Oryzias latipes: one gene and its partners. The protein of the gene in region 3 binds, or shares a complex with, the protein of the main gene of each other region. Links are inferred from orthologs where the notes say so. Each region holds a gene or a part of one and is shown on either strand. Other genes may lie near its edges.

The links.
Region 1: exosc4 (region 3) and exosc9 share a complex: the UniProt entries of both Homo sapiens proteins name them as parts of the RNA exosome core complex. The link is inferred for Oryzias latipes from reciprocal best matches to the Homo sapiens genes EXOSC4 and EXOSC9.
Region 2: exosc4 (region 3) and exosc1 share a complex: the UniProt entries of both Homo sapiens proteins name them as parts of the RNA exosome core complex. The link is inferred for Oryzias latipes from reciprocal best matches to the Homo sapiens genes EXOSC4 and EXOSC1.

Annotation. Positions count from the first base shown.
Region 1 is NC_019859.2:5,412,102-5,416,381, forward strand, and holds the start of exosc9 (exosome complex component RRP45), read right to left. Parts: upstream 2,889-4,280; 5' UTR 2,447-2,888; coding exon 2,381-2,446; intron 1,952-2,380; coding exon 1,857-1,951; intron 1,775-1,856; coding exon 1,655-1,774; intron 1,571-1,654; coding exon 1,468-1,570; intron 1,397-1,467; coding exon 1,259-1,396; intron 1,186-1,258; coding exon 1,103-1,185; intron 1-1,102. UniProt on the Homo sapiens protein: Non-catalytic component of the RNA exosome complex which has 3'->5' exoribonuclease activity and participates in a multitude of cellular RNA processing and degradation events.
Region 2 is NC_019859.2:28,382,418-28,385,425, reverse strand, and holds part of exosc1 (exosome complex component CSL4), read right to left. Parts: intron 2,753-3,008; coding exon 2,664-2,752; intron 2,597-2,663; coding exon 2,563-2,596; intron 2,498-2,562; coding exon 2,447-2,497; intron 2,373-2,446; coding exon 2,288-2,372; intron 1-2,287. UniProt on the Homo sapiens protein: Non-catalytic component of the RNA exosome complex which has 3'->5' exoribonuclease activity and participates in a multitude of cellular RNA processing and degradation events.
Region 3 is NC_019875.2:26,759,955-26,763,591, forward strand, and holds exosc4 (exosome complex component RRP41), read right to left. Parts: upstream 2,289-3,637; 5' UTR 2,225-2,288; coding exon 2,054-2,224; intron 1,299-2,053; coding exon 1,092-1,298; intron 1,007-1,091; coding exon 650-1,006; 3' UTR 534-649; downstream 1-533. UniProt on the Homo sapiens protein: Non-catalytic component of the RNA exosome complex which has 3'->5' exoribonuclease activity and participates in a multitude of cellular RNA processing and degradation events.

The DNA of each region.
Region 1 (4,280 bases), on a different chromosome or scaffold from region 3:
GATGGCGGACTGTGAGATAATTACACCTTCTTATAGTTACACCTCCCAGATTAAAAGTTAGATCGAATTAGCCAGGAAAATTTGAGCTCCATGCCTGGTTCACTTCTCCTCTCTGTTCTGGACTCGCGGTTGCTAGGCGACGGGACATTCGCAGATGCAACGGCTGGAATAATTCAAACGGTTAGGCTCATCCAAATTCACAGCTGTTCACATCCGGCCTATTGTAGTTAATTAAAGGTAGTTTATTGAAGGAAGCAGCCCTCGAATTTGGACACACCATGAATCTCACTAAAGACCCACTTTGATGAAAGTGGTGTTTATAACGTGTTCTTGTAGTGTTTTCTCATGATTGAAGACATAGAAAAAGAAGATTTAGCTAAAAATTGCATTTCTGAGAATTTTTTTTGTAATTAGGAGCTGACAAAATATGCAGTTGGAAAAACCCTTTTAACACGTTACTACGGCAAGCCAGAAGCTCCCAGCTCTGTACAGATCCACGTACGTCTCTATGTCTCACCGGCAATGCTACCTTGGGTTTGAGAGGGGGCTGTAAGCTAGCCAGAGAGCCTGTAAAAAGATTTATGATGGGGAAGGGGGGCGGGGTTACTCCACACCAAAACTCCCGCCCCACAAGACAACTGCAGCCGCTCTGCAGAAACTATGTCCTAGAAAACGATACAGGTTTTGTGATTTTGCCTAAAAAAACATAATTAAAAAGACCACTGCGATCAAAAGATGATCAGAGTTCACGATGCCGTCGAAAGTAGTTGTGTGAGTTAAGACAAACCAATAGAAACACTTGTTTGTCAGCTTAAAATGTTTCTTTAAAGAGCCTGGAAGCCTAAATGTGGGAATATCTTGCCTCCTGCTCAAAATGACGCCCTATTCCGCTGCGTAAAATGTCGTGATGCGTTCATGGTCGGCAGATTTTGAGTAGGACGTTTATTTGGAGAAAAAAAACAAGCTTGAATTAAAATAATAAAAAATAAATTCCGATCAAGTCTGAAACTGTGATTTCCGATCATGTGATCTCCAATTGATAGTTTGAATAGTGAGTTTATGGTCAGGAGTTGGGGATGAATCAGGAGAAGTGGATTATTACCCTTGTTGGAAGAAGGAGAAGCTGACACTAATGGGCATGTGGTAGATGCTAAGAGGAATGGGATCCCTCTCCTCTGGGCTGTACTGAAACGGGAAAAGCAACAATGTAAACCGACAGATGAGAAAACGCCGCCTCCTGCTGGGGCTGCTCCCTCACCACCGTGACCTCCTCTCCCTGGACGGCTACGTCGGGCCGCCTGAAATGGCACAGAGCGGCGATGGCGGCGATGCTGGAGGCGTCCATCAGGTTCCCGTCGTTGTTCAGCATGTGGACATCCACCCTGATCTGCCACACCTGGGCGAACACACGCGTTTCAGAGGAAAGCAGACGTCGCTTTGCGAGTCGCACAGGTTTGTGGGAATGACCTTTTCTCCGGACACCACGCACAGGGACTCCGTGTCGATGCACTTGGAGTTCCTCAGGCATCTTTCCAACTGTCTGTTCAGCTTCACGGACAGCTCCGACTGTCTGGATGTGGCGAAACAACAAAAAATGAGCCACACAGAGACAATCGAGGCACAAAACTATAAGGTCATGTGATCCAAAACCAACCTTCCCTGCTCGAAAGCTGGCGAGGCCAGAGGTGACAGCTCGATGTTAAAAAACATGATTCCCTCATTCGGGCGGCTCTCCTTTGGTGCAACCAGCTCACAAGATACCTGGGCCATGACCCTGAAAACACAAAGCTCCGATGACTGAGCGACATCAAACGCACCACGTCCGGTTTTCCCCACAAAGAGAACCTGGGGCTCACCTGGTTTGTCCCAAATCCACAAAGCAGCAGCCGTAGTCCGTCCCAAAGCTGATCTTGATCTTTCTGTAGTCGTAGGTCTGCCGTCCGTCCAGACGCTGCACGGAAAAAAAGACAACGTGATAGTTTTCCCTTAAACTCTTCCCATCTCACTTTTTCTATTCAGTCACCAGCAGAGAGTGAAGCAGTTAGGCTGGATATGAATATATTAAAAAAAACACAGAAATATATTTTTCTCACATTATAATATCCAGATTGTCACTAAGACGAGCAGCATACGGAACCTTGCAGTGATCAAGGCCACAGAAGTACAAAAATTAATCAATTAAATGCACAGTTTTTGTATTAAAATCAGTAAATCAATCATTGATGCTGCAAAAGTCGCATTTTTCCCTCTTCTCTTGAAGATTTCTAAATTAAACCACCTTCCCGGAGTTTTACCGAACTGTTAAACAACTACGCTTTTAATAAAATGTTGTTGTACACAGTAGTCATCAGGGAACTGTTACCGAGGAACGAAAACAAACCTTTTTCTCCTCGATGGCTTTCAGTATAAAGTCCCGCTCGCAGGCGGACAGCGGTGTTTCTTTCATCGTGTGGATTTCAGGCTGTTTGGAGTTATTTTGAAATGATTAGATTCTTTGAAAACCACGCGGGCACGTTTATGTTTATCCGGTTCTAGGCGCGCATGCGCAGCTGTGTACGTTTTACGACAGTAAAGGCTCGAATATGGTTTGAGTCCAATGCTGGATTAAACATGGTTTTAATGTTAAAAATTATCTTAATTTTGAATTGTAGCATTTTATTTATGGTTTCGTACAAATTCATATTATTTCAAACTAAATAGATGGAAACAGAAGACGCCAGCATCAAATACACAGCAGGTTGAATCAACCAATTATTTGTTTTCACATTAAAGGCAACAATTATTTCAGTACAAGAAATAATTTTGTATTATTTTACAAACCCAAAAATATATCCTTATAATTTATATAAAATATCTGCATTTCCTGCGGTCAGACGAGTGTAAAAAGTGTTTACGACAGTTGCGATCGGTGCTGCGTTGGGGTCAACTTGGAAATTACATTGTTCAAGTTTTTGTCTTCTGCAATATAATTGGTTTTGTATTTTAACTTGACAATTTTTTAAGAATACATTTAATACACGTGCTTAATTAACTGCATAAAAATACTAAAAGAAATGATAAATGTGTATACAAAGAATTTCAATCCCTTGATCTTTGCAAATTCTATTTGGCTGTCAAATTTATTTAATATTAAACATTGAATAAATGTTTGCTGTTTGTTTAGTTTGTCTTAACATAAACATAAGAAATGTAAAGGGGAACTTCTTTTAAGCTCAAGCCATTTTCCCCCAATTAAAGTCCTGTAGACTTGAATTCTAAATACATGTTTTTCTTTTTCTTCCTCTATGAATATAACCTTTGACTAACAATGCATTCAATTTTCTGTATTTACAAATATATACAACCAAAGCTGTGTTCTGTTTATTAAAGAATAAATTATTTTTTATGTATTGTTAAATCAAATATTAACCAATCACACCACATTTTCCTTATATGGCAATTAAAAATAGCCAGTAGTACATCTTAAAAGCTTTTTATGTTCATCGGTCTGAAAAAAAAGGAAACAGATGTGAACAAATCCTTGATGATGTTATTTAAAAAAATTATAACAAGCATGCATAAAAACAAATGAGCGAATGACAGCTTGGGTTCGGATTTTTGGCTTGAGCATTTGAACGCATCAGTCGTGCTTCCCCTTCTGTGTCTACTGCGCACGTCCAGTACCGTTATACGGGCTAACTGTCACTCACGGTCCATCCATCCAGCCGTGTTTCCCCTCCGTTTCTCAAGGGAGACTCCGCTCTTCAACCTCAGATCACTCTTGTGCCCTTCTCCGTAGGGCAGAACACAACAACAACCATTTTCAAATATAATAACGAGCTGCAAGAGAGGACGTAAGGACGGTTTGTGTGCGCACGCTCATTCACTCCACTCCATTCATCATGGGCGCGCGCGCGCGCGCAACGTTGTGGCTAGCAAGCTAGCGTTTGTTTTTCATTCATTCGTGGTCTTCAGATAAAACGTTTTATCTTTTCTGTTGTATCACGTTAAATGTCTGCTGCCTCTTGTTTTGCGTCAGCGCGTGCTTACATCCGTCTTCCGCGCGTGTTCGGGTGTCAGCGAAGCTCGTGTTGCGCTAACTTGTGGCGGTCCTGCTGTGTTAGCTGTAGCCCGCGGAGCAGGTGCTGCGGCCGGGGCAGTTCAGGGACAGTCTGGGCTCTGCGCTGCTCCCCGGCAGCCATGTTTTAGCTCCTCCACCGAGCCCTAACCGTTATTTTTGTTTATATAAAACACCAGCAAAGCTGTCACTGCCTAGGAAATTCAAAACAGAGGAAGCTGTG
Region 2 (3,008 bases), on a different chromosome or scaffold from region 3:
TGTTGTGGGGAGTTTTGTTGAGTTGCTAGTTTTGAGTAAATAGGAGCAGATTTCGGGTAAAAGAAAGGAGTTTGGTGTTTCAACGCGTGACAAAGACATCACAACATTGTTGTGTATACCCGTGTGCGAATTTGTCAAAGTACAACAGTACTAATATAAGCTTTCATAGCTTTCCAGTATATGTGTCGGTGAGAGCCGAATGATGGTGAACACGGCGGGAGGACTTCACCCCAAACAAGACGAGTCGTGTTTCGTATTTGCAGCAATCGGAAAGAAAATACGTCATGTAAACACACCGTTCGGAATACTTTGCCCCGGTCAGACTCGTTTGGATCAAAATTTCTTTCCGATCGAGATAGCTGGGTATACCGATCGTTGTTCATGTAAACGGTCATTCCGATCGTGTGTCACTGCTGCTCTGGGTTACGTCATGCATTGACGGTGTTTCGCTGAGAGAAAGCTTTGGAGCTCATACGGGACCGACCAGCGGCTCTGCGGACGCCCCGCGTAAAGCGCCGCTCCGCTCTCGCCCCGCTGGGTCTCCCCTCTCTTTCACCCCTCACGAGGGAGATGCGGGGGGGGGGGGGGGGGGTGCGTGTCCACTGACGTCTGAAACCCAGCATCCGAGCTCTGCGTTCGGGCTCCGGAGCCAGTGGACCGAATGAACCTCTGACTGAGCAGATCAGCTGGATTTATTAATGTGTTTGAGGGGAGGGTGCTTTGTTACGTGTGCGTTTTGTTATGTGTGAGAATTCGGACTGCGAGCCGAGCCGCCGCTCTGGGTTAGCGGCTGCCGGACTCGCGAGGACAGAGCAGAGCTCGAGCGGCCAGCTTACACAGCCGTCACGGGGCAGTGTGTGAGCTTTACAGAGCAGAAATGCCGCTCAGTCCTTAGAAACTGTTCAAAAAATCACGACACATGGAATCGTGTTTCTAATTGTGCCCCGACAAATAAAGGCTGATGTTGTTAGCCCGTGTTGTTAGCCTATCCTAACACTGGGTTGTTCTTCAGTTCTGTTCTTCTTCCACAAAAAAAAAAAAAGCACTGACCACAAGGATTAAATATAAAATGATGATCGAACAGGCACTTCATAATATTCATAAAATTAATAAAAGCACGTTTGGAAGATCGCCTCGTATATTACCGAGCTGCTGCATAAATATGTGACAGCACAGGTTTGTTTACAACGGGACACATTTCCTTTCGGTATTTTGTACACTATATTTTTCGACACGATATTTTGCCCATGTAACCACGCACTGGTCGACAATCCTATAGATGTCGTTCACGTCGATTTTCGGGAGACCTTGTAGAAAACGGGTGAAATATGCCATCTTTCGCAATCAAAATCTGCCGTGTCGCTGCTATAGAAGTCGCAAGCCGGAAATGGTCGGCCTCACACTCAAGGCGGCGGAAGTAGAACTCCTTACTTTCGTGCACGGAGCCTATTCCATCCGTCTATGTCACTCTTGACGCAGGCCAAGGTTCTCTTCTCGGTCACGTGATAGGATCCCGCTAAAATAAAACCCAGGAGCTGGCAAAATTAGTAAAAAACAAACGTCTTTGGAAAGTGTGAAAAGGGGAAAAACGCCCAGCCAGGAGACAGAAGAGGAGCCTTTGCACCAGGAGTGTAGGAAGGGGAGAAGATGATGACACCTGAGTGACGTCCGTGTCAAAATGAAAGCACGGATTCTTCTTGTCATGCCTGCGCTTTAACTTCAGTGTAGCGTTGCTACAATAATTGTCGGCCACATCATATAGACCGGCCCGTGAAAACTTTGTATGACGTCATACCGGTCCGCGGCGTTAAAAAGGTTAGAGTTTATGTCAGCACAAACATAAAAAACTGAAACCAACGCAAAGCACACAAATGCCAAGACAAAATCAAACTGACAAACTCACACACCAACACATCCTAACACAAATGCTAACACACATTCACACACATCCATGCTAGAACAAACTCGCATGTTAACACACATACACACCAACATAAATCCTCATACAAATGCTAATAAATACGGGTGCATATAAATAACCCTTCTGTTATCTTGTGGGGTCCAGATGACACGCTATTCACGCACACACGCCAACTCTACCTCACACACACAAACTTGCACACATATGCGCTGACCCAAACACACACAGACATGGCTTTTCTTCCACATATGAGGGCAGGCGAGGACAGAGGATGACATAAATTCTATTTTGTAATATTTCGAACTCCCGTCTGACCCGGTGGTTGAACACCGCCGTCCCGTCACAGCAGGGTGACCGTGCGCTCACCTGCGTCGCTGTGCGCCACCACCACTCCGAGCTCGTTCTCTGCAGTGGTCAGCAGGTAGTTGGACTGAACGTCTCCCAGAGAAATCTAGCGTCAGGTTAAGGTCTGCCATGCCAGCTTCTGAGCTTTGTGCGCGGAGCATCAAGAAATATGAAGGATACCACTTTGGCCAGAACAATGTCCCCAGGTCTAAAGCTTCTGTGCATCTCCACCTAAACAAAGCTCAACGTCAGACCAGCAAGGACGGACGGCGCCGGGCCAAACGGATCTCGCTCACCTTATCTTTCTCTGTGGCGCGAACGTCTTCTTTCCTGAACACACAGAAGAGCGTCAGACAGCACTAAAACAGCCACATCTGCTGCGTCCACTCTGCCTCACCTGATGGTTCCTCTGAACAGGTCCTTGAGCGGCGTGGAGCCCACATACAGGATGTGCACTTTGGCGAACCTGGAATTGATGCTCGTCACCTGTAACATGAAGGATCTGACAATTAAAATGTGTGCTTGATGTACTCACATATTCAGACTAGAAGCTTCTGGGATTCAAACAACTTTCTCTGGCAGGGAGAAGTCCAGCATCTGTCCCACAAAACCTAACCAACTATGTGGAAAACATCATCTTATCTGCAATTTGGTGTCAGCTAAAGCTTTGGAAAAACCTTTGATTACATAAGTGCTGTAAAAGCTTTTCTCTTGTAGAATCAGTCTAAATAGGAGCTAATAT
Region 3 (3,637 bases):
TAATTCTAATAAAGATTTATGTAAGAAAAGTTACTTTAAAAAGTAAGTTACATTAATACCAATTTTGTTTCAGCAGGTAAAGAAAATGATAGATTATTCAGCCTCAACGGACTGAAACTCTTACAAAACATGTATTGTATTGTGACATAAAAATTACTTTTACAACAAACAAAAGCAAAAGCAGAATAGCCTGTCTGCAAAACAAATCAAAGAAAATTAATCTAAAAAAAAAAGACTAAACACATGAACAGAGCATTTCATTCAGGAATAAAAAGTATTGTTTTGGTGAAAATTTGTAAGATATCAACACAGCTAAATAAATTGGATATAAGAATTATCTAATTTTTCACAAATTGTTTACTCTTACGGATGTGTGGTTTAAAATAAAGGTTCTTATTGTATCAGTCTGAAAACAAAGCTTTATTATCTGTTTATATATAAAATGCTGATGTTGCTGTTTCAGTTGATCACATTGATTTTTGCATCAAAAACAGGTCAGTTTTCAGCTAATAAAACAAATGCAAATACAAAGAAACGATATACATTCACATTTATTCTTTATGCACAAATATACTTAATAAAATGTTAAGAATGACGACAAAATAAGTGTTGATCCCAGGAAACCATTTGTTTACTCTTTCCTTCACCATTATTCTCTGAGCGTAGAACCTTCTTGGAGATGTTGCCTGACCACCTGGTCCAGGACTTTGCTCACACCTTTACAAGCGGTCATTGCCGCCTCAATCAGAGTGTCGAGGTGATCCTGATGCAGTCTGGCATCCATCTGGACCAGAGCGATCTGCCCTCCGCGGGGCAGAAGCGCCAAAGCCAGAGAGCTCACTCCTCCGCTCTCCTCTGCGTAGCAAAGATCGGCAAGAGAGGTTTCATCCACGAAGCCCACTGTGCAGGCGCACACATAGTCCCTCATCGGTATCCCTGCGTCGATCACTGCCAGTGTGGCGGCGTTCACACAAACGCTGTAGTTCCCCCCGTCGGACTGAAGAATCTTGAATGATGAAAACGTTCTTAAAACAATGACGAAAACAGATGCTATGAAGTAGAGCGCAGTATACTATAAATCTAAGGCCAACCTTGACATAGATGTCTATCTGGGAGCGTGGGTAGAGCTGGGTCAGCACGGCAGCTTCAAACGTTTGCTTGAGGTGAAGGCTCATTTCTGTGGACTTGCGGTCTCCGTGCGGTCTCCTCTTCCTCTCCGCCGTGCTGAAGGTGGCCATGCTGTACTGGCAGTTGATAATGGCTCTGTCATGAAGAGCCCGACTACGAGCACCTCGAATCTGAATGGGAAACAGGAAGTAAGCATAGGAGAACCATAAAAAAGGTCTGACATTTTTCACAGGGCGGCATACATCTGTCCTTTGAGTAAAACAGCTTTTTAATCCATCATCAGAGGTAAACCAGACAATAAAAACGCCAGACATGGGAGAGTTTGAGGTCAACGGCACAGATGAGCAAAAACAACATCTCAGGTTTTCCATCAGAAATATCGATGTTCTACAAGATTTAGGAAAGACTTTCAGGACAGAAAAGATAACCGTGAAACATTTTGGGTGATGTGCCTCGCATCACTCTAGTGTAAAACATTGCACAAACAGTCAAACATGGTGGTAATGGTGTCATGGTAAGGGGCTGTTATATTTGGGGCTTGGAATACTTTTGGTAAATGAATAAATTAACCAACAAATCCTCAAATTAACTTGGATTTCTCAGCAAGTCAAAGATTCAAAAGCAGTAAGTTTACCTCAGAATAGCATAACAAGTTCAAAAACTCTTGAATGCAGTTGTTAGTAAGTACTGTGTGACCGAGCCAGATAAGTAAACATTTTGTGTTACTGATACAATAAAATGCTTTGAAGGAAACGTATTATACTAAAATCATTACATTAATGTAAAATATCCCTTTAAATCTGACACATTACATAGAAATATCTTAATCCTTCATTAAACGCAGTTTGCACCGTTTCTTTGGCTGCCATGAACAGACTGGTGGTGTTGTTTTTACGTCACTTCTCCACGCGCGCGCGCCACTCACTTCATGCGGGCCGTAAACCACCGCCAGAGCTTTGGTGTTTCCTTGCTCCAGATACGCGGAACCGTCGGCCTGAGCGAACACCCCCATGCGGGCCTGGACTTTGCGCAGCTCGGTAGCTTTTCTTCCATCCAACCGGTATCCTTGATCAGACAGCAGCTCCAGACCCGCCATTTTCCCTAGCTTAACTACACGACAACACACGTGTCTACTGATGTACTACATTAACCATCATCCTCTTCGAGCAGTTACAGCAACGTCGGAAGAAAGTGTCGCAAAAAAGATTTCCATATTTATTTTACTTAGATGGTTTAGTAACAACTTCTTACTGGAAAAGTAGCCTAACGAAACATTTAGAAAGCCTTTTTTCTTATTTTATATTATTTTTAAATCTAACTGATACGTCAGAACAAAAGAAGTAGATAAATGCGGAACTACTAGTACGCGAGTCAAAACTAATTAATAAAATAAATTAAAATCAGGAGCTGAGAAATTACACACGGCATGCAGTTTTTACATTTAAGAATTCTGACTTTAATCTCACGACTCCGATTTTTAATTTAAAATTACAAGATAAAATAAGACTTTAAGCATTTTAAGTTTTAGGAATTCAGATTTATAAATATTTTCAACACAATAAACACTTCATTTAATGTCAGAGTATTGACATAATCTGATAAAGATTAATCATGATTTTAATAACTATTGTTTTTTCTTGGGAATGTCAATTTTAAAATACTGTCTTTAAATATAGAATTTTGATATTAGAGTACAGCAACATTTTCTGAAATTACTATAAGAATTCTTTAAAGGACACCTGCAGATTTTCTCATTTTCTTTTATTTTATTAATTTTTGCCCCTGACATCTTGACAAGTTTTACAGGCGCTGCAGTTTGTTTTATCTTCTGTCTGAAATCAGAACCCAAGTCAAAGTATATTTATTTTTCCAAAACATCTTGGTTTTCAAATTTTAAAAAGTAAATCCAGTGTTAATCTTTTTAAATAAAATGTTTTAGCATTTTTGTAAATTATACAGAAGATATATTTTCATTTCTGATGTTAAAAAGGATTCAATTCTATTGTCATTTATTTTTCTAGTTTAATTTTAATATTTTTGAGCGCCAATCGTTCGTGATCATTTTAAATCAGATCAACATCTTTCACTTTTTCATATTTAAAAAAAAATTTGTGTTAAAGCATTTGATAATTTACAAATATGAAGTAGACTTACCTTGTAATGCCATATTTAAAATAAGTTTTTTGTGTGTTTTTAAATTGATTACAGAGTAAAGCTTTTCACCTTTTAAAACGTGTTTAAATTGACTACATTTTGGCCTGCTTTGTTAATATTTCAGTCACACAAACTGCCTGCCAGCATTTCACTTTAAAGCTTTTATCAGATCTCAGACGACATTCCAGCCTCATCTTCCATCTCTTCATTCTGTTTGTTGCTTCATTTGTTGTCTTTTTACCTTTAGATTTGCTTTAATATCGCATTTAACATCAAAATCCTTTCCATCGATAAAGGTATGAAGATGAAGATGAAAAGATGAAGCCTAAGAAAAGGAGTACAACTCAAACCTCAA